Linked DNA regions of Danio rerio. The protein of the gene in region 3 interacts with the protein of the main gene of each other region in a biochemical or structural test. Links are inferred from orthologs where the notes say so. Each region holds a gene or a part of one and is shown on either strand. Other genes may lie near its edges.

The links.
Region 1: the proteins of acvr2aa (region 3) and gdf2 form a complex in vitro, tested with the Homo sapiens proteins (2 studies listed by BioGRID). The link is inferred for Danio rerio from reciprocal best matches to the Homo sapiens genes ACVR2A and GDF2.
Region 2: the proteins of acvr2aa (region 3) and bmp7b are reported together in a solved structure, tested with the Homo sapiens proteins (2 studies listed by BioGRID, with this or other methods). The link is inferred for Danio rerio from reciprocal best matches to the Homo sapiens genes ACVR2A and BMP7.

Annotation. Positions count from the first base shown.
Region 1 is NC_133187.1:3,039,552-3,050,482, forward strand, and holds gdf2 (growth/differentiation factor 2 preproprotein), read left to right. Parts: upstream 1-5,041; coding exon 5,042-5,366; intron 5,367-7,430; coding exon 7,431-8,275; downstream 8,276-10,931. Other genes in the region: gdf10b (growth/differentiation factor 10), read left to right, coding at 2,430-2,621. UniProt on the Homo sapiens protein: Potent circulating inhibitor of angiogenesis. Signals through the type I activin receptor ACVRL1 but not other Alks. Signaling through SMAD1 in endothelial cells requires TGF-beta coreceptor endoglin/ENG.
Region 2 is NC_133198.1:6,459,918-6,470,196, forward strand, and holds the end of bmp7b (bone morphogenetic protein 7b precursor), read right to left. Parts: intron 5,604-10,279; coding exon 5,454-5,603; 3' UTR 5,154-5,453; exon of another isoform or gene 5,098-5,153; 3' UTR 4,982-5,097; downstream 1-4,981. UniProt on the Homo sapiens protein: Growth factor of the TGF-beta superfamily that plays important role in various biological processes, including embryogenesis, hematopoiesis, neurogenesis and skeletal morphogenesis.
Region 3 is NC_133184.1:27,063,348-27,074,246, forward strand, and holds the start of acvr2aa (activin receptor type-2A precursor), read right to left. Parts: upstream 5,807-10,899; 5' UTR 4,810-5,806; coding exon 4,755-4,809; intron 4,328-4,754; exon of another isoform or gene 937-4,327; intron 878-936; exon of another isoform or gene 1-877. UniProt on the Homo sapiens protein: On ligand binding, forms a receptor complex consisting of two type II and two type I transmembrane serine/threonine kinases.

The DNA.
Region 1 (10,931 bases), on a different chromosome or scaffold from region 3:
CGGAGTTCCATGTGCACATTAAAAAGTGATTACCCCAAAACATACAATACATCATGTTCAGGGGCGCAACTGCACATTTACTGATGGGTATGCGGCTTCAATCCAACTATATTTTATAACAGGCAAGTGATAAAATGTGGAAAATATTTCCATCAATAAATTAAAGATATTTTTTCTTAAAGATATCAATATGCTTAAAAAAAAAACAGTTTTGCAGTTCTGAACACAACTGAAATAGTATGAAGTAGTAAAAGGTAAATTACATTAAGCATGTTAAGTCGCAAAGAAATGCATCTCATACCACCCCAAATTTCTTCTCCATTTAATTTTCCCACACTAAATGATTATAGCACCTTGACTAGCCTTGCTTTTGGACTTTGTACTACATTTGTCAAAACAAAATGATAGACATGGGAGTCCTAAAGGGCAAAAGAACATTGCAATAACTTCTCACATGCATACTGTGGGAAGTGTAAGGTCTGTCTCTGCAAGAACAATTGACTGAAACTGCTAAAAGTGAAATAAAAAAAGACTGTCAAATGTTTAGTGTAAAATAAAAACAGAAACAAACTGTGAAATGTTCTATTTAATTGAAATGTTATAACTTTGTTTGTAGCTAAAATTAAAATAGTTTTGAGCTAAGAAGTAACCAAAAGGCCTGATGAATCAATATGATACATAATAAATTCATAAAAACATGTATATGGTATTAAAAATGGGAAGGGGAGGAATGATTTTTTCATTTAATAAAATACTATATTATATGCGTATAAAATGCTAAATAAACATTTTTAACAAAAAAATATATATATTATTTGAAACTTTTAATATGGATAATTTCAAAAATAATTTTGGCACAATGGCGCCCCCCATGTGTGGCGCCCCTATGCGCCGCATAAACTGCATACTCCCTTTTTGCGTCACTGATCATGTTATAGGTGCATCTCCCTCCCCCCCTGGACTCATTTAACAACCTAATGACCACCATTATAAAAAAATCTAACTCTACAGTATTTGTCCTGCAAATAGGAACTCTAAAACGACGTCCTGATAACTCGGCTGAACCACTGAGTGAAACAGGTGATTCGGGGTGCATAGCATACCCTGAGCTCTCTTTAAAACACCAGTTCAGTAAATTACCATAGGACCAGTTTGGTTAAAACCAGTGATCTTGCCTGCCACCTTAACCAGGCTACTCAACCTGTTCTTGTTTGACACACTCGGATTACCGTACCAAGATACAATGCATAAAGATAAAACAGATTCAATTAATTGTTTATAAAACAGCGTCATCATAGAGGTACAAACCTGAAACCATCCAAGTTTCCTCAGATAAAAAATACTGTTTTTGTTGGACTTTTTTTTACAGACAGCCTAGGTGTTAGGTTGAAATGACAACAGGAGTCTTGGGTGGGCCGTTTGGCATTTCTGTGTGGAGTTTGCATGTTCTCCCTGTGTTGTTGTGGGTTTCCTCGTTCAGTTTCTCCCACAGTCCAAACACATGCGCTATAGGTGAATTGGCCAGTGTATGAGTGTGTGTGTGTGTGTGTGTGTGTGTGTGTGTGTGTGTGTGAATAAGTGTATGGGTGTTTCCCAGAACTAGGTTGCAGCTGGAAGGGCATCTGCAGCGTAAAACATATATATGTATATGCTGTAATAGTTGGCGGTTCATTCCGCTGTGGTGACCTCTGATAAATAAGGGACTGAGCCGAAGGAAAATGAATGAATGCATAAACACAAAAGAAGATATTCTGAAGAATGGTGGGTAAAAAAAACAGACATTGACATCACATACTATGGAAGTCGATGGATATTTTTTCGAGCATTCTTCTGACTATCTTCTTTTCTGTTCAACTGACGAAAGAAACTCAAACATGATGCGTAAATGATGGCAGAGTTTTCATTAGTGGGTGAAATATCCCTTTAAAGTCTGCATAATCCGGAAGCTGCAACCTTTTTTTGTATTGTGACGCAGTTCCCGGAGAAACAGAATATTAAATGAGAAATGAGTGGGTGTGGTTTTTTTTTTCTACTGCGATCTGATTGGATGTAGTAAAGTAGGCATGCCATTCAGAAAGATGGGGAGGTGGTTTGGGGAGAGTTAATACAACCTTACTGACTCCTCCTGCTCACCATTTCTGTTTGTTGTCAAAACTGACAGCTGGATGGGCGTGGTTAAGTATGCTTGCCACGCCCACTACCTAAGACAGACCTAATCTGGGAATTTAGCTGAAAACGAACAGGAAGTGCATTTTCAGATTTCACTTGAAGCTTACAAGGGTAAACTATTTTTTCTTAATGATATGAGCTGATGAATTGTTCACCACAAAACTAGCAATGCAAGCTAACGCAATCAATCTGTTTAGTTTTGATTTTTATATACTTCACGGCTTTATCCTCCAACCTTGACTTTCTTTCTCATAATGCAGGTTGTCCATCCATCCAATCATGCGACCATCCAGAGTATAGTGAGAGCGGTTGGGATTGTTCCTGGAGTCCCGGATCCGTGCTGCGTCCCGGATAAGATGAGCTCTCTGGCCGTACTCTTCCTGGACTCCAGCAGGAATATGCTATTGAAGATCTATCCCAGCATGTCTGTGGAAACCTGCGCCTGTCGATAAACGAGAAACACTAATGGAAATACGGATAAATAATCTGCAAAACAGTAAACTCTGCTACAGGGACTGCCGTCATATGACAAAAACAAACTCTTATGTCTGCAAATAAGACCTCAACACCTCAGATAATACAGGATCTTTGCACACAAACTTTGTATTTTCTGTCCGCTCTTTCATTTTGAATGAACTGTATATAATCCTTATTGTGACATACTGTAGTTTGCTTAAGGTAAGACTCATTTTGCAACGAATACATGGTGAATTTAAGGACAAAGAGATTTAAATGCATTTCTGTAAATAAATCTGGTAATATTCTGCATTATGTCTCATTCGTGAACATTGGTTGATGTGTTTGTTCACTTGAAAGAATTGTGATTAAACATTTTGTTCAACGTGATTTGATTTTATATTTAAGGGGACCCATAATGACAAGATGTAAAATAAGACACCAGCAAATCAAAATAAAATATTAGTATATGTTTATGGAATGCAGTTGATATTATAAAAAAAATAAACTTCTACTAAAGGAACAGTTCACAAAAAAGTTTCAAAAAAAAGTTCTAAAGTCAGAATTCAGAGTTATAAAGTCGGAATTGTGAATTTTTAGGTCAGAATTCCGAGTTTTTAAGTCAGAATTGCGAATTATAAAAGTCAAAATTGCGAGTTACAAAGTCGGAATTGCAAGTTCTAAAGTCAGAATTCCAAGTTATAAAGTCAGAGTTCTGTTATACAGTCTGAATTGCGAGTTCTAAAGTCAGAATTGCGAGGTTTTTAGGTCAGAATTCCAAGTTGTTAAGCCAGAATTGCGAGTTATAAAGTCAAAATTGCGAGTTACAAAGTCAGAAGTGCAAGTTATAAAGTCAGAATTCAGAGTTATAAAGTCAGATTTCCGAGTTATAATGTCAGAATTCCGAATTAAGTCAAAATTGCAAGTTATAAAGTCAGAATTGCACGTTAAGTCAGAATTCCGAGTTAAGTCAAAACTCAGAGTTAAGTCAGAATTACAAGTTACTAAGTCAGAATTCGTGTTAAGTTGAAATTGCGTGCTATAAAGTCAAAATTGCAAGTTATAAAGTCAGAATTGTGAGTTATTAAATCAGAATTCCAAGTTATAAAGTCAAAATTGCAAGTTATTAAGTCAGAATTCCGAGTTAAGTCAGAATTTCGAGTTAAGTCAGAATTGCAAGTTATTAATTCAGAATTGTGAGTTAAAGTCAGAATAGCAAGTAATTAAATCAGAATTGCGAAGTATAAATGAGTTTCCTGACTGCCGACTGGCCATAGATAGAGTGTTAAAGAACTCGGAAATTCTGACTTTATAATTTATATATATATATATATATATATATATATATATATATATATATATATATATATATATATATATATATATATATATATATATATATATATAAAAAATAATTTTTTTTTTTAATTTTAGCATTCAGTGTACTTCCAGAAATTATCCTCTTTTTTACAAGATCTAAAATAACTCTCAGATGTCTCTAGAGTGTGTGTGTAAGAAGTTTCAGCTCAAAATACCAAACAGATAATGTTTTCTAACTCTTTGAAACGGACCCTTTTTAGGCTTTGATACTAATATTGGCGTTTTGATGGCTGTCGCTTTAAATTCAAATGAGATTGTGCTGTTTTTAAAAAAGGGCGGAGCTACAGATGCCTATGTGTCAGCGTAGTGGCAGGTTCAGAAACAAGACTAACGTACTTTGCTAATAAGGGAGACACAGTCACTACTGACCCAGCCGAGACTCGAACCAGTGACCTTCTTGCTGTAAGGCGACAGTGCTGACCACTAAGCCACCTTGAACCATGGTTATTATATAAATATTTATTAAAATTCTAATAGTTTGGATTTGCCCATTTATTAAAATATATATGTTTTATTGCGAATAAAGACTTGATGAATTGTATTGGAAACAGGGAAGAGGGCGACGGTCAACTTTTAGACCCATTAACCCTTTCCACAACCTGAAAATGAAACCAAATGCAAACTAAAGAGAGCGCTGGAATCTTTAATGTTAATATTTATCATTTCCGAGGCTGATAAGTTGAGACATCCTACACATAAACACAAACAAATTCAAAGTGATGGAGTTGCCTTTATAAAAACAGAGCCTGACCGTGTAAATAAGCCTGTCAAAATCTCACTCATTAGTCGTTCTGGTAGTGTTTACAGAACGCTCATTAACTACGCGCTTCCTCCAGATAACCAAGTCCAAACCACAACATTGGTGTCAAAGATAATAGCTATGCTACTATTTTGGTTTCCAGAGCTTAGCGTGGGGCATGGGAGTAAACCTGAGGTTCACTTAAGGAACCCCGATTTCAAAGCATCATCCACAAACCAAAGTCAGATGTAAAACTTGTTGCTCAAAGTCACTTATCGCTGCAGGAACTAAAAGAAGATGTGGCGCGTAGGACATTTGCTCCTTCTGATGTCCATTGTTTTTAGGATTACCGAAGAGAAATCTTTAGGTGACGCTGGCAGCTTGGAAGATTCAATGTTCATTCAAGAGCAGAAGCTGGTTGAAGACGATGACTTGAACAAGGTGGAGAGTTTCTTAGGCTTTATGAAGGAAGATTTTTTGAGGAAGCTGAACTTATCAGGCGTGCCGCAGGAACACAGAAAGGTTCAGCCTCCTCAGTTCATGATCGAACTCTATAATAGATACGCTTCTGACAAGAACTCCATCCCTCGGTCGGATGTCATCCGAAGCTTTGTCGTTCAGGGTGAGTACACATAAAGAGAGCTCACAATCTCTGAGGCGGATCTGTTCAATATTACACACATTAAAAGAGCTTCTTTGATTGATTGTACCATCAGAGGAAACTTTTCATTAGGTGATATATACTGGAACCAGCAGCGGTGGACAATAACAAGAGTTTTAACTGGATTGCTCACACAAAAATGTTCATTTTACTATCATTTGCTTATTCTTTACGTCAGGGGTCACCAATCTCATTTCTGGAGGTCCGTTGGCCTGCAGGGTTTAGCTCCAACTTGCCTCAACACACCTGCCTGGGTGTTTTAAGTATACCTAGTAAAGCTGCGGTCACACTAGAGTTTGATAATAAAATTCTGTGGTACGACGCTGCGAAAAGGGGCGGGAATAAACAAGATTATCTGTTCAGAGAGGTCATGTTTTGATCCTCAATTGGTCTCACGCAGTCAAGTGATGCGATTTCGCAGGTCAGAGTTCACCAAGCTTGAACTTTGCACCGTAGGAACCTGCGAAACTTGACGCATGACCTTGCGTTTCCGGTCTGACCAACACAATCTCACGGCAATTCGTAACTTTTTCATTTAGTGGCTAATTCGTATGAATTTGTACGATCTAATTCGTACAATTTAGTACGATTTGCTTATCCCCCAATGACGGTTGGGGTTAGGGGTGGGGTTAGGTGCCACGCCTCCTTTTTAAAATCGTATCATTTCGTACGACTGAAATCGTACAAATTCGTACGAATTAGCCACTAAACTGCCAAAACGTTAAATACTTACGTTTTCTCGTGAGATCACGCTGGTCTGACACATTCGCGCGAGTATGAATGGAAGTCTACGGGAGGAAAAGCAGCTTCAGACCTTGATTATCTTGTTCAGGTGTGTTTGATTAGGGTTGGAGCTAAAATCTGCAGGACACCGGCCCTCCAGGAACAAGTTTGGTAATCCCTGCTCTGCGTGCTCCAAAACTATATGAGCTTCTGTTGAATACAAAACTGTGAAGAATGTTGGGGAAAAGGCAGCCATTGACATCCATATAAAAATACTATGAAAGTCAGTTTTCCCCCCCGCAGAATTCTTCAATATATTTATGAAAATGAAGAAAAATTCATGAAAGTTTACAACCAATTTGGTGTGAGGAAACAGTGAATATCCCTTTTTAATACATTATCGAATATCTTTCACAAAAGTTGTTTTGTAAACTTATTTTAAAGCATAATTGTGCTTTTTTTATATTAAAAATATATTTTTTTATTATTTATAACTAAAGAAATTCTCCTGCCGTAATTTAAAGTCATAACAGTGGTGTCTTTTTTCATGAATGAGCTGACTTTTGTCAACACATAATAATCCTTTTTTTTTTTTTTAAATGAACTGCTGATTTTCGTCTCCTTCAGCAATTTTCTGAGAGTCAGTTGTCGATCTTTAGTGCGTTTATTCATCTGCCGTCCCTATGTGGGCGGAGTAATACACAAGAGGCTGTATGAGTGCTGTTATTTTGGAATATCGCATGACTATCAGCCAATCAGATTCGAGAACCAGATAGAAATATTGTAAAAATTACAATAATTATTAAACGCATTTTAATTTTTTGTTTCTTCTTGTAAATTTTAAACTATTACTGGCTATCAAAATGACCAGAAATCCAGTGAATTTAAGGGGACTTTTTTTTTTAAAGTGTAATATTGAACATTGGCGGCATGGTGGCTCAGTGGTTAGCACTGTCGCCTCACAGCAACAAAGCCACTGGTTCGAATTACGGCTGGGTCAGTTTGGCATTACTGTGTGGAGTTTGAATGTTCTCCCCGTGTTGTTGTGGGTTTCCTCCGGGTGCTCCGGTTTCCCCCACAGTCCAAACACATGCGCTATAGGGCAATTGGATAAACTAAATTGGCTGTAGGGTGTGAGTGCATGTGTGTTTCCCAGTACTGGGTTGCGGCTGTGTAAAACATATGGCGGAACAGTTGGCGGTTGAGTAATATTTTTTTGGCCTCTCTTATCCTTTTCACAAGATCTTTAACACATCAAATTAATGGTAAAATTCACTGAGCTCCCTTTTGTCTACTCTACAGATGTTATTTATTCCATCAGACAAGGCAACAAAACCCAACACCGGCTGCTATTCAACGTTTCCATCCCAAATCACGAAGAGATTACCTCAGTCCAGCTACGTCTGTTCACTCTCTGGCACAGACATAAACCCGCCTGCGACGATCTCTTCACATCCATAAACGTCTATGATGTAGAATACGAGCAGAATGCTAAAATATTACACCTTCTGGATGGCAGAGACGTGAGAGAGTCCATAAACACGTGGGAGGCTTTTGATGTGACCGGAGCCGTCAGGATTTGGCATGAATCTAGACGTGGGGCTGGGGAAATTCAGGTTGAAGTCCAACATAGCTGTGACTCCTTCGATATAAGTCTGAGTCTAGAGGACAACAGCTCTGCGGTCGTCATTGTTTTTTCTGATGATCTCGGAAACCGGAAGGAAGAGTCGATGAGGAAGGTTAAAGAGATGCTTGTGCGTGAACAACAGCAAGTGGGAAATCAAGCTCCAGTGAGCAACCGACACCGCAGGAGAAAGAGGAAAGCAAAGAACAATTATTGTCGGAGAACTTCCCTCAAGGTCAATTTCAAAGACATCGGATGGGACAAATGGATCGTTGCGCCGCCGGAATACGACGCTTATGAGTGCAAAGGTGTGTGTTATTTCCCTCTAACTGATGACGTTAGCCCATCCAGACATGCAGTCATCCAGACACTGGTTAACCTCAGCAATCCAAAGAAAGCAAACATGGCATGTTGCGTCCCGACCAAGCTGGACCCAATCGCCGTCATGTACCAGGAAAAAGGCGTCATCACCGTCCGACATCTCTACGAGGAGATGAAAGTTGCAAAGTGTGGCTGTAGGTAGTGTTTGGATGCATCTGTATACATGTATATAACATATATATATATTATGTATATCGTTATAAATATATTTTTATTCCTATTGAAATACCTCTTAAAGGGATAGTTCACCCCAAAAATTAAAAGTCTGTTTAATTTGTTCCAAACCTGGGGTGCGTTTCCCAAACATCGATGTAACTCGTGGCTAAACTATCATAGTACGATGCATCATTTGGGAAAAGAACCAGCCTAGGCTGGTTGGCTGGTTTTAGCTGGTCGACCAGGCTGGTTTTAGAGGGGTTTTGGCCACTTCCAGGCTGGTTTCCAGCCATTTCCAGCCTGGTCTTAGCTGGTCAGGCTTGGAGATGACCAGCTAAAACCAGCTTGACCAGCCAAGCCAAGCTGGGAGTCCAGCCAAAACCAGCTATATCCAGCTTAAACCAGGCTGGTCAAGCTGGTTTTAGCTGGATTTGGCCGGTCATTTTCCAGCCTGACCACCAGCCTGGTCGACCAGCTAAAACCAGCCAACCAGCCTAGGCTGGTTTAAGCTGGATTTTTCAGCAGGGATGCATAATTTGGGAAAAGAACGATGTTTGTTTCCCAAAACTCGTAGTTTCTCTTTTGCAGATCTATCGTTTGAACATACAGTAACATTATTTATCAACATGTGGCTCTTTTTGGATTCTTGGACTCTATAGACATGAAAAATGCAAACAGGAAATACGTTGAGACCATTGTTTTTGTTTACATTTCTCAAAATGTTCTATATTCCTACCCTAAACTGTTTAAATAACCATAAGCAGATATTTTTAATTTAATGAAGCAATTGTCATGGTTATTGGTTTATTAATAGCTTGAGAATTGTAGCTTAAAGTGTAACCAACATTATTTTAATGAAACAACGATTGTAGAGGTTAATGTCAACATCCTTAATGTGATCAAAATGCTATTTTCACTTCAACATGTTGACTACATGAGAATATACTGCAGGGGCATTTCAAGGATTCAGCATCTGGGACACAGATCAAAACATCAGGCCTGATATTTCTCCTTAGAGATCTTTTTGTTTAACATTTTGATACAGAAACATACTTACACATGTATGCAAAAACAGATGTGGATGCTTGGCCAATGCATACTGTACATACTAGTCAAAAACCTCAAGGGGGCGATAGAGTAACAGTACTGTTCAGGTAGAAGGGAATATCTACGGTACAAATTAGTAGCTCTCCTGAAACGGTTTTTCAGATGTTTTCCAAGCGCTGTCTAAGAGAGCAAGGAAATTATTAATGCTAGCATCTTGCAAAATAACTAGTAAAGACGAAAGAAATTAATTAATGGAAATTAGTTATTAAAATTATTATGTTTAAAAATGTATAGCCAAAATCTTCTCTCTGTTAAACAGCACAGAAAAAAATATATAAATAAATAAATAATATTATAATATATAATAAACACACACACACACACACACATGTACTGTATATATATATTTAACTGTATATGAGATTCAACGTGTTTAGCAAAAAAGTCTATTTAACTGTGCATCTATAAGACAATTTCTTTTTTTAAATGTGTTTTTATTAAAGTTTTTATAAACATAGTATACGAATAACACTTACTTATAATGTTTACAATCACAGAAAAGAAACAAATAGATGTAAAATAATTGATATAAATTATAATAATATATAAATAATAGTGACAGCTTTAAAACAAAAAAAATAATAATTTAATTAATTAATTAAAAGAGGGGGGGGAGAATAAATAAATAAATAAATAAATAAATAAATAAATAAATAAACTCCAATATAAAGGCAATAACTGTGACAAAGACAAAGCCCCTGAAACCCTTTCAAAGATCAAGCATGTATGTTTCGATTAATGCCCAGGTCTGTTGGAAGAAGTCTAAAAGTCTAACTGCAAATCTGCAGTCATTTTCTCATATATATATATATATATATATATATATATATATATATATATATATATATATATATATATATATATATATACACACACACACACACACACACACACACACATATACATATATATACACACACGTTTCAACCTCTGTGTCTATTCTGTCAAAGTAGGTTGGCAGGTCTTCATCCAGTTCACTGTAATTCTTTTCCTACCTGTTATTATGAATATATTTAGTGTAAATAGGTGAGACTTACTGAATTGATCAAATATGTTATTGATGATGTGAATTGACAAAATACTGGGTGCATTGGTATGTCATATCCTAAAACTTTTCTAATCTCCCTGTTAACCTCCTGCCAGTACACTTGTATATTAGGACATTCCCAAAATATGTGAACACAGTCCCCCACTTCTCCACAATCTCTCCAGCATTGTGATAATTGTAAAGAACTATTGAATTTGGCGGCCACTAACGGAACTCTGAAAAACCTCATCTTCCAGTCCAACTCCCTCCATATTCCCTGCTTATACCCTTATAACAATTTGTGCATATTTGTTCCCACATTTCATCCTCTATTATAGTGTTTAACACTAATTCCCTAATTCTTTTGCTATAATGAGAGTAGTCAGATTTATCCTGCATCAGTTTTCTATATAAATGGGCTACAGGATTTTTAGCAGGCAGACCGTGTTCAATAATATCCTAATAAGTATTCCTAACAACCAAAGCTACTACTGAACCTAAGTGAAGT
Region 2 (10,279 bases), on a different chromosome or scaffold from region 3:
TATAAACAGGATGTTGAGAGTGGACAAAAAGAGAAAGCAGAAATGAGGTGAGCAGGAGGAAGAGGAGGGGGTCTTGGTAAGGGTTTGGGTTTGGTGGTCTAAATACAAAAAGTCAACTGTTATTTTCAATTTTACAGCGACTTTCTTGTAATTGAGATGTTCTCACCTCACAATGTGATTTTAAATGTCACAAGTGTGGTTTTATGGGCTACATGCACCTGGACTTTTAATTTCTAGTAAGCCAGCTCAAGCTAGTAAAGCATCAGTTACAGTCAGGTCCATAAATATTGGGCTCTATATATTTAAATATAAATATTTTGGCTCTATAGCACACACACCTGGCCATGAAACAACTAAGAAGCCAATTGTCCCATAACTTTTGGTCCCTTAACAAGTGAGAGGCACAAATGCAAACTGTTGTAATTCCTACACCGTTGACCCGATTTGAATGTAAATACTCTCAAATTGAAGCTGACAGTCTGCAGTTAAAGCACTAGAGCTACACGATTCTGGCTAAAATGAGAATCGCGATTTTTTTTTTGCTTAAAATAAAGAGCACAAATTTTACGATTCTGTAGATGTAAAATAAAGGTTAATATGAGTCGGCAATTTTTATAGTTTTTTTTTTTCAAACATGGTAAAACAACAGTAATAATATGTGTAAGTCTACTGGTTTTTATAAATAATTCTATTCTACTTATAATAAAACGAGTTAAATCTAATCGAGATTGCAATATTATTTTATTTATTGTGCAGCTCTATAAAGCACATCTTCATTTCATTTCAAATCCATTGTAGAGCCAAAAATTTTAGAATTGTGTCGATGTCCCAATATTATTTAGACCTGACTCTATGTATTGACTATAGGCTTTCAAAGTTTTTCAACGTGTGTGTGTGTGTGTGTTTGCCGGTCCTACGCCACCCAACCAACCCGCTCCGAGCTTTTATCAAACCGGAAACCTTTCACATGGGAGTCAGTTGCTCTAACAAGGAGGCTAAAGACCATGGCCCCTAGCATCTGTCGCTAGAGCACCTTTTAGAGGTCAAAGGAGTGAGGTTTACCTGCACAGCACTTACTAGCTGGCCTCCATTACATTCACCCCCCCCAAACCTCATTCCCATCCGGGTCACGGCACCAATGTAACCCCGCCGGTCCTACGCCACCCAATCCACTCCGAGCTGGTATCGAACCAACGACCTTCCGCATGGGAATCAGTTGTTCTAACAATGAGGCTGAAGACCATGGCCCCTAATGTCTGTCGCTAGAGCACCTTTAGAGGTCAGAGGAGTGAGGTTTACCTGCACAGCACCTACTAGCTGGCCTCCAATACACTTGTAAGAATAATTTATTCGATAAAATATTAATTGATACAGCACAGTTGAAAATGTGGGCACCAGTAATGAACTCTAGATGATTATATTGCATGCACTGTAAAAATACTGGGTTCCACACAATTCCTTCATGTTGTCCCAACACAAATCAATTAAGTTAAATTTGTTTTTAGAAATTTAGTATAAGATAAAACCTTCAGAATTGTGTTGTTTCAACTTGTTTTAATTAAGTAGATTGAGCAAGCAGCAAAAGTCATTTTTGTGTGTATGAATAGGATGATTTGTTGAACGAACATAAAAGATGCGAGTAAACTGAGAGATGTCGTGTGGTCATGTCCTAAGTAACACACACTCACGCACATGGGGGCCGAAGGTCTCAGGATCACGGCTGGGCTACGAGGTGCTCGCTGTACTCAAAGAACAGCCTGTGTTTATTCAAACTTATTTATTGGGCCGAGCCTGCAGTAAAACACTATCAGTGCCGGGAATGATATCCTCACCTCACATGCTCCTAATAAATGCCCCTCTGTGGAAAAACAGCAGAAGGCAATGTGCTGGACATTCAACACAACACAAGCAAGTCAAATGACAGATATTAGGTAATGCTGGAGATCCAAACAAACTCATGCTTTTGTTTTAAACAAGTACTTTGAGTTTAAAGTTAAACAATTGAGTTGTTGCTTACAGTTGAAGTCAGAATTATTAGCCCACATTTAAGTTTTTTTTTAACATTTTTAAATATTTCCAAAATGATGTTTAACAGAGCATAAAAAGTTTTCACAGTATGTCTTATAATATTTTTTTCTTCTGGAGAAAATCTTTGTTTTATTTTGGCTAGAATAAAAGCAGTTTTAATTTTTTTAAAAACTATTTTAAGGTCAACATTATTAGCCCCTTCAAGCTATATTTTTTCAGAAGTCTACAGAACAAACCATCATTAGGGACCTTTCCTGGACCACCTGATCAAAAAGGCTCACCAGCACCTATTTTTCTTAAGGCAACTTAAGAAGAACCAGCTTTCATCAGCTGTCTTGGTGAACGTCTACCGCTGCACAATAAAGAGCATCCTGACAAACTGGGTCACAGTCTGGTGTGGAAGCTGCTCTGTTGCTGAGCGAGAGGCACTGCAGCGGGTGGTGAAAACTGCCCAACGCATCACAGGGACAACACTGCCAGCCATAGAGGACATCCAGAAGAAACACTGTCTGCGCCGAGCACGCAGTATTCTGAAGGATCCCTCTCACCCTGCTCACAGACAGTTTTTGCTGCTGCCTTCTGGCAGGCGCTTCAGGCTCCCCTGGACAAAAACCAGCAGACTGAGGAGCAGCTTTTTTCCCTGAGCTGTCTCCCTCCTGAACTCTGCCCCCCACTGACTCTTTTGCCCCTCTAAGACACCCCCCACTCTCCTCTAACTTATACTCCTCACATTTACTGCACTATTTAACATTTGCACACTTAAAAATTGCACTGATTCACTTATTTGAACTGTACATACACACTGCACATGGACATTAGTAATTATGAACACACCCACTGCACATATACATTTGTAATTATGTTTATCTATCTGCACACTTCTGATTATTAATAGCAATCTGTACATACTGTATATGCATCTATTGTAAAACTCTGTTCATAGCTAATCCAACCTGTACATAATGTTCATAGTACATCCATCTGTAAATATGACTGTAGGTTTTCTATAACTGCACTTAATAACTTATACCTGTATCCTACACTTGCTGTTATTGCACTGCTGGTTAGACCTTAACTGCATTTTGTTGCATCGCACTTGTACATGTGTAATGACAATAAAGTTTAATCTAATTATACAATAACTTGCCTAATTACCCCAACCTACTTAGTTAACCTAATTAAGCTAGTTAAGCCTTTAAATGTCACTTTAAGCTGTATAGAAGTTTCCTGAAAATTTTCTAGTCAAATATTATTTACTGTCATCATGGCAAAGATAAAATAAATCAGTTATTAGAGATAAGTTATTAAAGCTATTGTGTTTAGAAATGTGTTGAAAAAAATCTTCTTTCTGTTAAACAGAAATTAGGGGGAAAAAACAAGGGTCTAATAATTCAGGGGGGCTAATAATTCTCCAACTGTAGTTAATTTTGAACCCACCAAAAATTTTCATATTTAAATGTACATTTTTGCATTTGTTTATAACTTGATTTCCTATTTCACTGTAAAATTGCCATCCACACAGATAATTAATGTTGTCCCAACATAAATCAAATTAACTTAATAAATATAAACAGATTTAGCATAAAACAATGAAGTTGTCCCATTTAAATCTCAAGGATTGTGTTGTAGTATTGTGTTGAAGTAGATTATGTGAAATTAGCTTCCATTGGAATAAGTTATTAGTTTTTATTTGCAAATTTAAGTTGATTGAACATAAAACAATTAAGTTGTCCGCCCAAAACTAAATAAATGTGTTGTTTCAGCTTATTTTAAATAAGTACTTTCGAATAAACAGCAAAAGTCATTTTGAGACTGTAATACTTATTCCTAAAATGATATTTATTGATTTTTTTTTTTTTTTTTGTCAGAAGGTTGATTTTTCTGATGTATCATCTCTTGAACTGCATCCCAATCATCACAAATACTGCAGAAGACCTACTGGAACCCACATTGATTCTTACTGAAATTAGTCAAGTTTGGTAAAGGAGAAATCATGGTTTGGGGTTACATTCAGTATGGGGCTGTGCGAGAGATCTGTGCTGCCCATTACATTACAAACCCACAGGAGATGTTAGCGCTCCTTTTCATACTTCAGCCTCTACATCAATTAAAGAAGGTCAAGGTCAGGCCCGTTCTGAGACTGTCCAAAGGGCATGTGCAGGATACATTTTTTGAAGAGTGGGGTGGGGGGGGGTTGTTGCCGCGCGGTTGTTGTTGTTGTCGCGTGCGTACTGAAGAGCGGTGTTGTCGCGCGTTCTGATCAGCGGTGTTGTCGCGCGCGTACTGTAAAGCGGGGGAGGGGGGTGTCGCGGGGGCACTTTTGATCATTTTGGAAGGGCACTTTCTATCCAAGACTAAAAAGGGCATGTGCACTGCACAGGTTGAGCCCTATGTGTGCACGTGCCTGGTCAAGGTGCTCCAGGATTGGCCAGCCCAGTCACCAGGCATGAACCTTATTGAGCATGGCTGGGGTAAGATGAAGGAGGAGGCATTGAAGATGAATCCAAAGAATCTTGATGAACTCTGGGAGTCCTGCAAGAACGCTTCTTTGCCATTTTAGATGACCTTATTAATACATTGAGTCATTGCAGAGATGTATGGATGCAGTCCTTCAAGCTCATAGTAGTCATACAAAATATGAATTCTTTTTCCACTGCAGCATGATTTTATATTCTAACCTGTGCATTATTTCTATTAAGTCTTGAAATAATTGAAAATCAAGGTATGATCATGTTTTATTTTGGTAAAATAGGCGTAATCTAGAGGCCTTTCAAATAAGCCACTTCTGATACCAAATGATCAACTAGAAGTCAAGTTACTTTTTGTTGTTCCTAAAACTTGCATAGGCGACAAGACTTTTGCCAGGTAGTGTATATATATATATACATTTCTTCATCAATGGTAAATGAGTCAATGATGACACGCATTTAAAAAAAACACAAAAAGACAAGCATGTTTTAGAGTTCGTGTTGGAAAATAAATACTTTGTCATTGAAAAACTATTTACACAGTAGAAAGCACAAGTATATAGAAGTATGTAAATGTGTGCATACATGTGTTGGTGCGTGTCTGTGTGTGTGTGTGTGTGTGTGTGCGTGTGTGTGTGTGTGTGTGTGTGCGTGTGTGTGTGTGTGTGTGTGTGTGTGTGTGTGTGTGTGTGTGTGTGTGTGTGTGTGTGTGTGTGTGTGTGTGTGTGTGTAAAAAAGAGAGGTTATCTGTAACTTCCTTTTGCAATCCTGGCCAATCGAAAGTCTTCATTTTGTCCTTGGTATACGGTCTTGGTTTGGCCTGAGATCTTCATATCGTTTTGGTGGGATCTTGGGAGGGCGCCATTTTTATAAATGAGGATCAGTCATGCGTGTTTGTGTGTGTTTGCATTGTCTATATGGATGTAATGATTGTCTATGCATATGTGTGACAGGACTCTAGTGGCATCCACACGCTCTGACCACCATGTTGCGGTATTTCTTCAGGATGACGTTGGAGCTGTCGTCAAAATACAGGACGGAGATGGCGTGGAGTTGGGTAGGAGCGCAACATGGTTTTGGAACTGTTTCAGGGTTGATGAAGTGAACCTGAGATGACAAAAAAAGAAAATAGGACAAAGTCACAAAGTGTACAATGCACTTTTTCTTACAGTATGTGTCCTAAATTGTAAGCAAATATTTAAACTGCATGATTAAAGTGTGTGAATATACACACTGTTAACAATTTTCTGTAGAATCTACAGTGACTTACTGTAAGGTTCAGTTTATATTACAGTTCAGTTCACCACTGACTTACTGTAAATCGAAATACTGTATTTACATTTACAGCATCATTTACTGTGCTATGTATGTATTTGCAGCATTGCATAGTTTTTACTGTAAAATTTACAGTAATTTTCACAATGTAACTTTAAATTACAGTAACAAACTGCATAAATGTCCTACAGTAAGGTTCAGTTTATATTACAGTTCAGTTCACCAGTAATTTACTGTTAATCAATTACAGCAAAAATACTGTATTTACATTCACAGCACCAATTACCTTACTGTGTATGTATTTACAGCACTGTATATCTTTACCATAAAATATACAGTAATTTTCACAATGCAACTTTAAATTACAGTAACAAACTGCATAAATGTCCTACAGTAAGGTTCAGTTTATATTACAGTTCAGTTCACCAGTAACTTACTGTAAATCAAAATACTGTATTTACATTTACAGCATCATTTACTGTGCTGTGTATGTATTTACAGCATTGCATATTTTTACTGTAAAATTTACAGTAATTTTCACAATGCAACTTTAAATTACAGTAACAAACTGCATAAATGTCCTACAGTAAGGTTCAGTTTATTTTACAGTTCAGTTCACCAGTAATTTACTGTAAATCAATTACAGCAAAAATACTGTATTTACATTCACAGCACCAATTACCTTACTGTGTATATATTTACAGCATTGTATATCTTTATTGTAAAATATACAGTAATTTTCACAATGCAACTTTAAATTACAGTAACAAACTGCATAACTGTCCTACAGTAAGGTTCAGTTTATATTACATTTCAGTTCACCAGTAACTTCCTGTAAATCAAAATACTGTATTTACATTTACAGCATAATTTACTGTGCTGTGTATGTATTTACAGCATTGCATATTTTTACCGTAAAATTTGCAGTAATTTTCACAATGCAACTTTATATTACAGTAACAAACTGCAAAAATGTCCTACAGTAAGGTTCAGTTTATATTACAGTTCAGTTTACCAGTAATTTACTGTTAATCAATTACAGCAAAAATACTGTTTACATTCACAGCACCAATTACCTTACTGTGTATATGTTTACAGCATTGTATATCTTTACTGTAAAATATACAGTAATTTTCACAATGCAACTTTAAATTACAGTAACAAACTGCATAACTGTCCTACAGTAAGGTTCAGTTTATATTACATTTCAGTTCACCAGTAACTTCCTGTAAATCAAAATACTGTATTTACATTTACAGCATAATTTACTGTGCTGTGTATGTATTTACAGCATTGCATATTTTTACCGTAAAATTTGCAGTAATTTTCACAATGCAACTTTATATTACAGTAACAAACTGCAAAAATGTCCTACAGTAAGGTTCAGTTTATATTACAGTTCAGTTTACCAGTAATTTACTGTTAATCAATTACAGCAAAAATACTGTTTACATTCACAGCACCAATTACCTTACTGTGTATATGTTTACAGCATTGTATATCTTTACTGTAAAATATACAGTAATTTTCACAATGCAACTTTAAATTATAGTAACAAACTGCATAACTGTCCTACAGTAAGGTTCAGTTTATATTACAGTTCAGTTCACCAGTAACTTACTGTAAATCAATTACAGCAAAAATACTGTATTTACATTCACAGCACCAATTACCTTACTGCTTGAATTTACAGCACTGTATATCTTTACTGTAAAATATACAGTAATTTTCACAATGCTACTTTAAAAACAGTAAAATATTGCATAAAGCTAGATTTATACTTTTGCCTGGCGCCGCATTGCGCACCTTCAATGACTGCGCGCTCACCCTCATGAAACAGATGAGGCTTTTATACTCACCAGGTTTATTAAAATGTTAATGAAAATAGAACATGGGTTGCTCTAAAAATATTATTTTTATTATGGCAAGAATAAAAGCAAAATAAAAGAGCACACTTACTTAAAAATACAGATGTTTTTTTTTTATATATATTTGTACAGAACAAACAACACAATCATTATACGATGACTTGCCTAATTACCCTATCCTGCCTAATTAACCTAGTTACGCTTTTAAATGTCACTTTAAACTCAATACAAATATCTTGAAAAATATCTAGAAAAATATTATGTGCTGTCATTATGGCAAAGACAAAATAAATCAGGTAATAGTACAACTTTTATGTTTAGAAATGTATTAAAATATCTTTTCAAAATTGGGGAAAAATATTCAGGGGGGCCTAATAATTCTGACTTCAACTGTTTACAACCTATTATAACCTACTATTTTTATATACAATGACAGTGATCAAATTTACTGGTATTTTTCAAAAGGGCCTGCTCACATATGATCCCTTTCCGAAAAATTGCCGGTTATTTTCCGGAAAAGTCTGTATGTGTGAAAGGGGCTGATGATTTAGTTTATACAAACAAAATTTGTGATGGTCACAGCAGTCAAAAAGAATGCACTGATCCTGATACTTGTATCGGCTATCGGTTAGATACTGCATATTTTTGCTGGATCGGGTATCGGCCAGCTGGTACCGATCCAAAACCGATCTTGCACGTGCGCTATGTTCTGTGTAATTTATAAGCCAACAAAAGCTATGAAGGTAGCCTATTATAAAGCACTAGAAAATTGTCATGTAGGCCTACCATATCCCAAATGTTTTGAAGCCATTTAGTATAACAAGACTAAGCAATTGGTCTATGCTGCTTTTAAAGTGCATGTAATCAGTTCATAATGATCCTCCGACTGTGTGTGTGCAATCAGCGGAATCCGGAACAGGTGCATGTGAGCGCACTTAGTGTGTAACATTATTGAATGGATTTGATCGTAATAATCTAGGAAAAGTCTGTAATATTATAGTGTTTTTCTGTAAACATTTAAATGAAAATATCTGTAAATTTATTATTTTTTGCACTTTATTTCAACAAAGACATTTTACCGTAATTTTATGGTTTTTGTTTGGCACCCGTAGCTGTCAGTCATTTGACCTTTTTTTACGATTTTTTTTCTTACAGTGAATTATGTTCATAAAAAAATTATAAATAATAAAAAAAGGCACAGTATCGGGATCGGATCTGATTCGGTTTTGATATTTTGATATCAAGATCGATTGCAAAAAAATAGTGTCGGTGCATCCCTTAAAAGAAGTATGAAGTGTGGAGGCAAAAGGTGGGCACTTTACCTCCACCTTTATAGACATCTGTACACACTTTGGATTCACTCTTTCCACATTTTGACGATGAACATAATGTTCTCCACCAGGCTCAATCAAACAAAACTTTATATCATCATTAAAGTGAGCTTTAGACAGGTTCTCCCGCCACACAACATGCTCATGTCTTTTGATTATTTCTTCTGATAAGGAATTGGGCATTGTAGTATGGTGATTCACTGCTGCCACACACATATTATTTATATCCCTCAATTATGTCATAATAATGAGATCTTTTCTCATTAAAATTACATCTTTAATCATAAAAACAAAAAGCTGCATCTTTTCTGCTTATAACGAGATGTTGTTTAGGTAAACGATACAATTATCTCATTAAAACGACATATTTTTCTTGTTAATCCAACTTAATTGTCTCATTAAAATGACAATTTTCTTGTTAAACAACATCTATTTCTTGTTAAAATGAGATCCTTCATACATGACGTGACCATCATGTTGGTATAATCAAACGGGTAAAAGAATCCACCTTTTTTCAAGATAAGGCACATTTAAATTGGTTAATTGGACTTTCTCCTCAGTTTAAAAACACAACAACATTTTATCAACATCCAAGTTATTTCCACTCTATCATTATTAGCATGTGAACACTAAATCAGCATCTTAATCATCTGAGATTATACTGGTGAAAGAATCAAACAGATCTATAGGAAAAAGCGTTTGTCTGCATTATAATGCGAAAAACTCAACCCTGGCTCATTCTGATTACATACATTTCTGGAGAGCATCCCAGGAGCAAAGCCGGAGAGGGACTACTTTTCAGCCCTGGAGTTTCAAGCCTTAGACCGGCCCACTTCAGTTCACGACTGACTATATTAAAATAACTATTGAAAAAATGTAAAGCTTAAAGGGGATAATAATTTTGCCCTTAAAATGTTTTTTAAAAATACTAATTTTGCTTTTATTCTAGCCTAAATAAAACAAATGAGACTTTCTCCAGAAGAAAAAATGTTATTAGACATACTGTGAAAATTTCCTTGCTCTGTTAAACATATTAGGAAATATATTTATATATATATATATATATATATATATATATATATATATATATATATATATATATATATATATATATATATATATTAAGGGTGGAGCCGAACCCGAATACGTTATTCGGAAAGGCACGAATAGCGTGTTTTTACGAATACTTGATTCGAACAAATACTTGAAAAATTATTTGTATTCGGGAGCAAGAAAAACACTATATCAAAAAGCAGCGTTTCCTCCTGAGACCACAGTGCATGCCCGCGTGAGTGAGTGAGTGAGTGAG
Region 3 (10,899 bases):
TTCATTTTTAAAAGATATTAAACAAATATAAACATGTAAAGCTTGCAGTTTGTCATTTCCGCCTAAATCGATCAACAATTATTTTTACATCATACGACATTTTCTCAAACGTTGATCAAATCAAATCATCAAATCAAACGATCAAACAATCTCTAGCATCTGACATGTTCAGCCCCTTTTAAAAACTTTTCATTTGATGCGCTTGAGATCAACCACTCTCACTGGCGTAGATGAGATAAAAAGAAATGCGATTGGCTGTTTTTTTTTTTTTTTAAACGGGGAGAAGCTACTCTATGTCCCACCCTCTCTATATTGTTCAGTTAAAATTCGTCAAACACTGAATAATAAAGGTACATTTTAAAGCACTTCACAGAACCTTTAACTAATTTAAGTAGATTGAACATAAAAAGGGCGACACAAGAGGCATAGTAGGTAGTGCTGTCGCCTCACAGCAAGGTCACTGGTTCAGCCTTGGCTGGGTCAGTTGGCGTTTCTGTGTGGAGTTTGCATGTTCTCCCTGTGTTCGCATGGGTTTCCTCTGGGTGCTCCGGTTTCCCCACACAGTCTAAAGATATGAGGTACAGGTGAATTGGGTAGACTAAATTGTCCGTAGTGTATGAGTGTGTATGGATGTTTCCCAGAAATGAGTTGCAGCAGAAAGAGCATCCGCTGCGTAAAACATATGCTGGATAAGTTGGTGGTTCATTCCGCTGTGGCGACCCCAGATTAATAACGGGACTAAGCCGAAAAGAAAATGAATGAATAAATGAATGAACGTAAAAAATTAAGTTGTCCCAAAACAAAAAAATCTCAGGAATTGTGTTGTTTCAGCTCATTTTAAATAAATAGTTTGAACAAGCAACAAAATATTAGCTTGGTTTCTTGGCACAGAGGAAAATCCGCTTTTCCTTTAATTATAAACAGCTAAACAAATAGAATTATACATTTAGAATAATGCTGACACTACATAGATATTTACATGGTATAACTGAATTCACATCAGAGCATGAGAATTCACTCCGGCCTCCTTGCCAACAACGCTGCACGTTCAGATAGCCGTCGAGATCGACATTCACACATGCTGCCCTGCCGTTGACGCTCTGATGTGTGGTATGGCACCCAAACTCACATCAAAACGTGTTTACTGTGCATCAAGCTGATATGAGCGGCTGGAATCAGCGGATCATAATCTGCTCATGTGTAAAAGAACACAACGCTTCCTTCTGAAAGTATATAATTAGTCTTTATTATTGACCAGTCTCACAATCTGGCAAGTAATTGTTTAATTTACTAACCAACACTTTTCCATCTCACACTTGTGCAATGCTGTCAGAAGCACAGAGTGCATTAAATAGATTTATATGAAAATGCACTATTTGTTAAGTAGCTTTAAAAAAAGCCATTTGCTAATCCATGCGTGTCAGAAGAACAGTTAGCATAATCATTTAAGATGATAATAATAATAACAGAGTTACAATCTTATCCCAGGCTTCAATTCCGTGCAATGTTCCACTGAATTTCTTGATCATTAACAATAAAGGCACTGAAGCATACACAACGCCTAGATCTAATCAGTTACAGTTTGCAAATAAATAGTGAACTGACCCCTAGTTAACTATTAAACCCAGAACAAATAGACTTAGTGCTTCAAATGGGCTATGAGGTGAAATGATTCTGTGTTTAATCAAAATCGCCTTATAAAAAGATTAAATTAGCACAGTATACTAGACAGGTCAAAAATAAATGAGATAAAAATTGAGCGTTAAGCAATAGTTTGTGACCATCAACTTGCCCTGAACTAGTTTACATAAGTACAAAAGTAAAAAATAGTTTTCATCATGTAGTCTCAAGACTAAAACCAGCTACTGTAGAATTCAAATGCACATTTATCGATCTGCCCATCAGCAACCCTGTTGTGACTGCACAAAAGAGGATTTCTACAGCAAATGTATATTATCCACAGCACAGTAGGATCTTTGTTTTGGCAATTTGTTTCAGAAGTCGTGCTGCTGCACAATGACCCCAGCTAAGCTGCCCGGGTGTTATACAAGGGAAATAAATGTAGGCTCTCCTACCCACAACAGCTGTGCCAATAGATTTCAACGAATAAGACACTGGAAGAGGAAGCACCATTACTTCCATTCTACACACCGGTCATGATGTAGTCAAAAGCATGAACACAATCAAAAGGACACAACCCACTCTGCGTAAATGCGTCATTTTAATGCAAACCAAGACGCAAATCCAAGAGGCACGCAAAGTGAATTTTGCAAGCTACTCAACGCCATCAAAGCTCTCGTGAAAAACAGCTGACCACCACATGTACTTTTAATAGTCGGTAAATATTTGCAAGAAAAAAAAGAAAACCGAGGAACTAAATTTGAAAGTGATGTGTGAAAGTTGCCTTCATACAGAAGATCATGAGGCAAAGCGAGCTCAAAGCACAACATATTATCGTTATTATTAACAACTAGAAACAATAATAGGAGTAGTATTAGTGATAATAAAGTGACTTTTCAGTTGCTTCATGAAAACATATTGCACCACAATGCATCTAACACAATTTTTTATTCCAATGCATTACTATACTATTGAACAAAAACTATGGGCTCTATGCAAAGCTATAGTTTTAAAACTTCTGGTGAAAGATTAATGTGACTATTTTGAATTCCACAAGGTTGTTTTTACAGCATTGATGTTGTGATGTAATTACAATACATTCAGTTAAATAGACTTAAGCATTCATTTAGCGTTCAAGCGTAAAACGAGATGAAAGGCCATTGTAACCACTAGCATCACAATGCATTGTAAATGTATGTCTGTAAGCAATGTATATTTAATATAGCCTAATGTTAATAATAATAATAACAATAATTTAATAATAATTGTTATTATAATACAGTGTTTCTTATGCATCCTATCACCATCATTATAAGTTGTACTAAAGATATTAGCTGGGTATATTGGGTGTTTACTAGCTTCTGCTGCTGCCATCTACAAAAAGTAGCTTGTCCCATGGCAAAACTCGAGTGAGAATTTGTGATGCACCAGTATCAGATACAAGCGGAAGGTTTTGAACTGTAATTCTATGATTTCAAGGGAAATCAAAGAGAACATGATTCAATCTGATCGCTCGTAAAAGGATTAGACTGGAAACTAAAAAATAAAAATAATAAAAAATAAATCTTTGATGTTATCGTCAAACGAACATAAAATCTATTCGACAGCAAGAACAGATAACAGCACTGCAGCTTCTAAATGAACTCAAGTACAATATATCTACACACAAAATGCCCATTAACATTATGTTTCTGTCTTTTTGCTACACTGAAAAGTTGCCATTGAATACATTTAAACTCCTCTTTAAGCTTACAGTTTCTATGTGCGCTTTGGTTAGATGCTGCCACTTGTGATTTATTTTAGGAGCCATGACGTTTAAGGCATAATTTACATTCGACTGGGCAAGTGCTCAGACTTAATTCTCTCAGCAGTCATAAACTCATGCCTGGGCAAAACTTCTGCAAATGCTTACATCACATGTAACAAATAAAGTCAAACTGTTCAATTATATCTGGTTTCCGAACAGATGCAAGCATAAAGACGAAGTAAACTGAAGTGACTCTAATAGGCGTTCAGTTCTGGAACACAACAAAACATACAGCACAAATCGGTTACTAGCGGCTCTAAACATCCATAAACACAGGTGGAATCATAATCAGGTGAAAGGTTCCTCATATCACTACAAGCAGAGGTCTATAATGGTTTATACGTGCACATCCCATCAGTTTACACTGATTCCTCAGAGAGAGCATATGCAATGTGACCCAAAAGATATGGTTTCTTATGTTACCCAGAAGCTCCTGAATACTTCTGCCTTTAGACTGATATAAATACCGAAGCGATGTGCTCAAATATAACATTTTATTGATTAATTGTCTGTGTAGCCAAAAGAGTGCAGAGCTGTGTGGGCAAGTGCGATGCAGGATGAGGGATGTAGTGGGAACACAGAGTACAGGCACAAACTGTGCCTATTGTACATTTTGCAATAAAAGTAAAATCCTAACTTTGATCACAGAGTGTGTTGAGGAACATCCACTGTTTTGACTTGCTGTTGCTTAAATATTCTACTGAATAAAAATAATCATTAAGGTGTAGATCAAATATGCAAGGTAATCTGTCCTATCTTATCTAATGTTCTCACATGCAAATAAGACCTTTGGCCTAGCCATCGGCCTCATCAAATGATTTTTCCCCTTCCTAAACCACTCATATACATAAATGTAACCTTCCTTTTCATGAATAATTAAAAAACAAAAAAAAAAAAAGATCTGCCAGTAGAGGGGGTTTACATGCAACATATAAAACATGCATGCATGCATGAACAGCAACAGCAGCCAGCACAATGACACTGGTCAATATTAACAGAACGTTCAGATCACATCACCAGAGTGTTTTCTCAACTCCACTGAGCAGGTCTTCATGTTGGATACTTGTCAAACCAGCTATTGAGAGAAATAAGCTGCTCAATCCTGGCAGAAATCGCTGCTTCTGTGTTGTGCATGCTCAGATCATATTCATATGGTGTTGTGTAGCTATTTTACGAGAAACCAATGAATTCGATCTCAATGCGGAGTAACACGAGAAAGAGCCTCCGGTGGCACATGCATACACACAAAAAGAGATATGTCATGACACAAATGCACACTGTGCGTGCGCGTATTGCATTTAAAGGGGTCAAACAGATTACTACCCACCTGAGGAGCAGGAGATGAGGAACACTCCGAATGCCAGCTTTGTTGCAGGTCCCATTTTTTCACTCTTCTGTCTTGTCCTACAAAATCCAAGAGTCTTTGCATTCAAGTTTCCCCTCAAACTACTGATAAGCAGTCAGTGAAACACATCCATGTCACCGAGTCAGTGACAGATATACGGCAGTGCACAAATCCAGTGCCAGTTTATAGTCCTCGGATTCAGCGAGTGAAAAGCGGCATCAAAGTGTCCACTTGAGATTCAAAAATTTCGAGCTTTCAGAAACAAAGTCAACAATGACTGTCCATGCAATTTGCATTAAAAGCCATGCCAATAACGAGGAAATTCCAACGCGTACGAATAATACTGTATCTACACAATGTTGCACTGTCGCGCGCTCAGAATAAACGAGTCCGTTCAATAAAGCCGTTCAGTAAATGGGCCAGCTCCCATTGCCAGTAATCAGACCAACTGGAAAAGCTTTGCATAGAACCCGCCATCAACATATATAAAGATACTGCTGATTATTAATGCAAATGAACTAACGTAATATCTCAAGAAGAGCAATGCCTCCAGTTCACTCCCACCCGACAACTCACAGGCAGTACACTAAATCCATGCACGTCTACGGGAATAAAAATGAAATTAACATCGCCAGACGATGTTTTCACATCACGCTTAATTCGCGTAATGTTTAAATACAATGTATGTAGTACAACAGATCATGGATAAAGTGAAATAAATGGGGTCACGCGCACGATTTAGCGCACGCGCGAGCTCAAGTTGACAGTGAAGGACTTAACGTTAAATATGGCCAACGCGCTATATCTACATTCGCTTCGGGTGTAAATGATTCAAACCTGCAATTAGCGACCTCGCAAAGCTTCTCCACAACTGCAAAGGTAGGTAGTTAAACCAAACAGTCGTTCGGACTAAGACAAGTCGACGGCTGGATAAAGCTTAGCACGTACAGCCTCCGAAATAACTTCATCAGCCCCGTCGGGAATATGACGCAAAAAATGAGACGGATATGACAGATGTGGTCACTAAAGGTAATCCTTCAAAATGTACTGTCCCGGTGTTCGCAGACGGCGGACTTTTTAGAGCGGTCGGAACTCAATTTATCGCTATTTCCCTCTCCGTTGCTGTCAGTAACCGTTGGCTTACAGTATTCAAGATGGACGCCCGGGCGGATTGTTTTTGTTTTTTTCTGTCCTCCACTGCCTTTACCCGCCCATTATTTTACGTAAGCGCGGCACCATACTGACTGACGAGCGCTTTGTCCAATCAGAAACATATATGTTAATAACCGAAACCAATTGCAGCGCTTGGTTCACAGAAACCCATCCCTACTCATCATGAGGGGTTTGTATGTGGCAGTAGAGTGACGTGCATTCCAAATGTAGGCTGTGAAATATTCACTGTATGTTGATAGTAGTGTTGGGTACTATCATATCCCTGATGTAACACTCTCTCGTTTATGAAGATACACAATATGTTATATTATGTGCAGTTGAATAGTCTATTTCAATTTAATGCTGGTATATATTGGGGCTAGAACATGGGAAACCTGTCATCATATATGTCCCCCTCACTTTTAGAGACAGATCATTTAGAAACGGGTGATTAATAGTTACATGAACGTAAAGTTTTGGATCTCATACAGCTGTCCCCCCACTTTTAAAATGTCCGCTACATCCCTGGACATTTTTGTAAACAAATGAACACCATAAACTGTACGAACATTCATCCAGGTGAGCCTATAACCTATAATGAATTAGATTTGAACAGGAAGGTTTACAGCATGATTGTATTATCTGTAAATGTCAGGTTGGTTGACAAAAATGTTTTGAAATATACTATTCTCTAATGTATACAGTTGATCAAAAAAATATTATTTGGTCAAAATTATCGTTTAATGTTTTGCGTCCTAAAAAATTCGTTTTAAGTATAAATAATTGTTATACTGCTTAGTTTTTCTTTCTGCAAAGCCTATAACCTTGCTAAATGCATTTCTCCAAATTCTCTAACAGATCTCAAAATCTGTTCCAATACAGTCACAGTGTGTTTAAGTGCAGCTGAAAAATTATAACCCTACCCTTTATACCCATAGCAAAATCTTAGTCTGGCAGACAATGATTCATCTTTCTGAATAAATTATAACAATTATTCAAATACAAATATATATATATATATATATATATATATATATATATATATATATATATATATATATATATATATATATATATATATATATATATATATATTGCTGGTGTCTGAGTGACAGTGATTTACAAACGTTGTAAATTTTAAAAAGTTTATCTTAGTTTGTTTAAGTGTTTGGTGCAAACCCTTTACTCTCATTTAAATTAAATTAAAAATAAAAGTAGAGGTTTGTACCTGGAAACTGTTGATATTTGACTTCTTTAAAAGTGGCTATAGGCAGTTCTATTGCATGTTTGTTAAAATGCGCATATTCTCATACACATACTCACAAAGTTTATTTTGTTGTCAAGATTAGGAGAGTGACCATCATGAAGCTTTTTTTGTGTAATTCCATATTTTCTATTCTCACATTTAATTATAGTATAACAAATTGATCAAAGCTAAAGATTTTAATAATCTGATTTTTTTTTTTAATAAAAAGCATCATAAATACATCACAAGGTCCCCACAGAGGACTGCTCTTAGTGATTTGTGGGCTGCTCACATTGTAACATAATAGCAACTCCCCAACCTGGCCCAATGCAGCCTATGTAATCTGATCCACAAATATTCACACATAATCCTGATGCCCTATTTAACCATAAGCATTTTTTTCATTGCTGCAGGGATCTGAACCTTTGTTCAAGTCCTTTAGTTGCTTCATTCAGTGACTGCAGTGAACAACTTGAGAGAGTTTTGGTATACATGTGTGAAAAGAGCACGCTGGAGCATATTTCACAATGAAATGTCATTTTTTTCCAACAACCAGAGGTGACTTTAGAAATATCCAAACTAAGCTACTGTGAAGGTCAAAGACATGTGATCAATGGCAGTGCCCACCGCACTTTGTCTCCCTCTCCTGATATTTCAAACCTGAGAGAATGCTGAAGAACGCTCTTTTCTAGCATTCTACCAACCTCCAAATGCACATCCTCCTTCTCTTTTTTTATATGAACCAATGCAGATAGATGGATGTATAGACAGACGTAATAATTGTTTGAAAATAAATGTTTTTATTTTGGTCACGATTCATCTTTTACTTGGATTTTTGAAGTAATGTTAAAGTTGTCATCATAACAAAAGAAATACAAGTGAAGGTTATTCCAAAAAGCAGAAAGTTATGTGGCATGTACCGGATATGTTTAAGGATATGTAAGCAAATAATCTCAGTATTCGGTTCCAAAAACTATAGTAGCTTTTATGGTATATAAGTTGCCACAGCAGCTTATGCTCTTATCACAACCTTTTCTGGAGCAGCCTTTTGTTTGTTAACTCTGTACAGTATGGTTACATTTGTTAACATCAGTTAATTAAACTTACTTCAATTTAATGACACATACAAAAGCATTTATTTATCTTAGGTAATGTTAAATTCTAGGTTAATCATATAATTGTTTTATTAAATGATTCAAAGTTATTTATTTGAACTATAATATGGCTATTTTTCAGTGTTGATTTTAGCGCATGTACTAATGTTTACTAATGAGACTTTATTGTAAAGTGATATCTATTGTAATTTTTTGTTCTTTTGCAATTTAATTTGTTTCAAACATTTGTTTACTCCTAACATGTATTCACAATAAAGCAATGTGCATATAGTTTTTTTGGTTATTACAATTCTCCTAAAATAATCTATTTTTTTCAACATGGGTCAAAATCCTGATAATATTGATTATCGCAAGAAGAAAGATCTGATAACGGCAAAAGCCTATTCAAAAAAAAAAAACTGAAAAATTTGAGATCAATATTATAAAAAAGTAGAACTACCAATAGGGGTGGGTGATGAGCTTTAAAAATGTAACTTAGCGTTAAACAGAAGAAGAAACAATAGGTGTGACACCCTGCTTTTGGCATCTGTTTTTATGGTAACTCCTGGGCTGTTTCTCAATATGCATTCTTCAGCGTTCTTGTGTCCTCGTGTAACGCCATCATCAACTGCCAAAGTTCAGTTCCAAAACTCAAGCCCGCAAGAACGGAGGACATGTGAAAATTCCCGGATGTATTCTTGATATCGAGGACACATCAATGCAGACCTAAGTAGAAAACTTGCTCTAAAAGTCCCAGAAGTCATTGCAGCTGGAAAAAAAGGAGGTGGGAAGCGCAACATTTACTATACTATTATTATTAAAGAATTGAGAAACAGCCCTTGTTTTGGTGTTCTGTTGAAAATAACTTTTGTTCACGGTTAACATATTCTTAGTTGTCGGCATCAATAGCCTAGTGGTTAGCACACCCCTACGGGGGCCGAAAGAGCTTAACATGCTGCAATTTAAGAAAACTCGTGCAATTACAAAAACACAGAAATGTTTCAAGGGGACCCAAAGATGTGAAGGATGCCGCTGTGCCGTGACTATTGCTCATAGCAGTTGTAAGTGATCTTTGAAAGGTAAGTTTATTTTTGTTTATTTTAATATCCCGATTCCTGTGTCTTTAGTATTTACTGTATTAGCCTAAATAACTGTAACCTAAATGGCTTAAAACATTTCCGTTGTGTTGTGAGAAAATGCAGTACATTTTAGTAGCATGTTTGATTTGTGTGAAAATGCAGCTCGTTTTTAAAAAAATTGTGTTTGTGTTGTGGCGATTTGCAGCATGTGTGCAGTCAAACTGATGAAGATCTTTTCTCAGTTTACAGGCATTTTTTGTAATTGCTTGTGTTTTCTTAAATTGCAGCACGTTAAGCTCTCTCGGCCATCGTAAGCAGGGTGTCACACGGTTGTTGCTATATCGAATGTGGTTGTGGCCGAAAGTCAATGAGAATTATATATATTATTTTTTAATTTCCCAATTGTTGTATTTGATATTGTCTACCCCAACCCTAAACCCAATTAAAAACGGTAGTTGTACCGAGTATTTTTATCGCTATCTATTTAATTACCCACAACAACCCTAAACCCAACCGTCACAGTACTGTAAAAATATTAATTATTGTTATACAGTATCATAAAAATAGTGCTGCTATACTGATGTGCATATCGCACTTTCGGCCGACCGCGTATCTGATCTAGACTTTACCGTGTCACACCTCTTGTTTCTTCTTCTGTTCAATGCTGAGTTACATTTTAAAGCTTATCGCCCCCTATTAGTAGTTATACTTTGAAAAAAATAATATTGATCTTAAATGTGTGTGTTTTTTATGAATGGGTCTTTTCACAATTTGCGTTCAAAGTAATTGCACGAATTTCCTAAATTGCAGCACATTAAGCTTTCTCTGCCACCATACCTGTCCAAAAAAACATAATTAAAAACAATTCTAAGTTCACTAAAATTGCTTCTAGGAGTGCAAGGTTAAAATCTACAAGTTTCACATAGATTTAAAACGTCCTTTTAGCATTTATTTAACTAATTCAATTCACCTTTATTTGTATAGCGCTTTTACAATGTAGATTGTGTCAAAGCAGCTTCACAAAAAAGATCATAGTAATAGAAACAGTGTCAGTTCAATTTTCAGAGTTTAAGTTCAGTTCAGTTTAGCTCAGTTCAGTGTGGTTTAATAATCACTACTGAGAGTCCAAACAATGAAGAGCAATCCATCGATGCGTAGCTCTACATATCCTGAACCATGCAAGCTAGTGGCGACAGCGGCAAGGAAAAAAAAAAAAAACTTCACCAATTGGCGAAAGTAAAGAAAAAAAAAAAAAAACCTTGAGAGAAACCAGACTCAGTTGGGCACGATCATTTCCATTTCTCCGCTAGCCAAACGTCTTGTGCAGAGCTGCAGTCTCAGCGGCAGAGACTGGAAGCTGAACCCTAAGCGAAGACCCGTCTGTCCCTGGAGTGTCACATGAATCAGTCTCATGCTCTCCACTCCTCCATGACCACCACAGCAGCTGCTCAGGATACGGCCTGGATCCAGGATATGGAAACCTTGGGATCATCTCGTCGCTGGTCTTGGATCAAATCAGTGACGCTTTTTAGTCTGATTAAGCTCCAAAACATCAT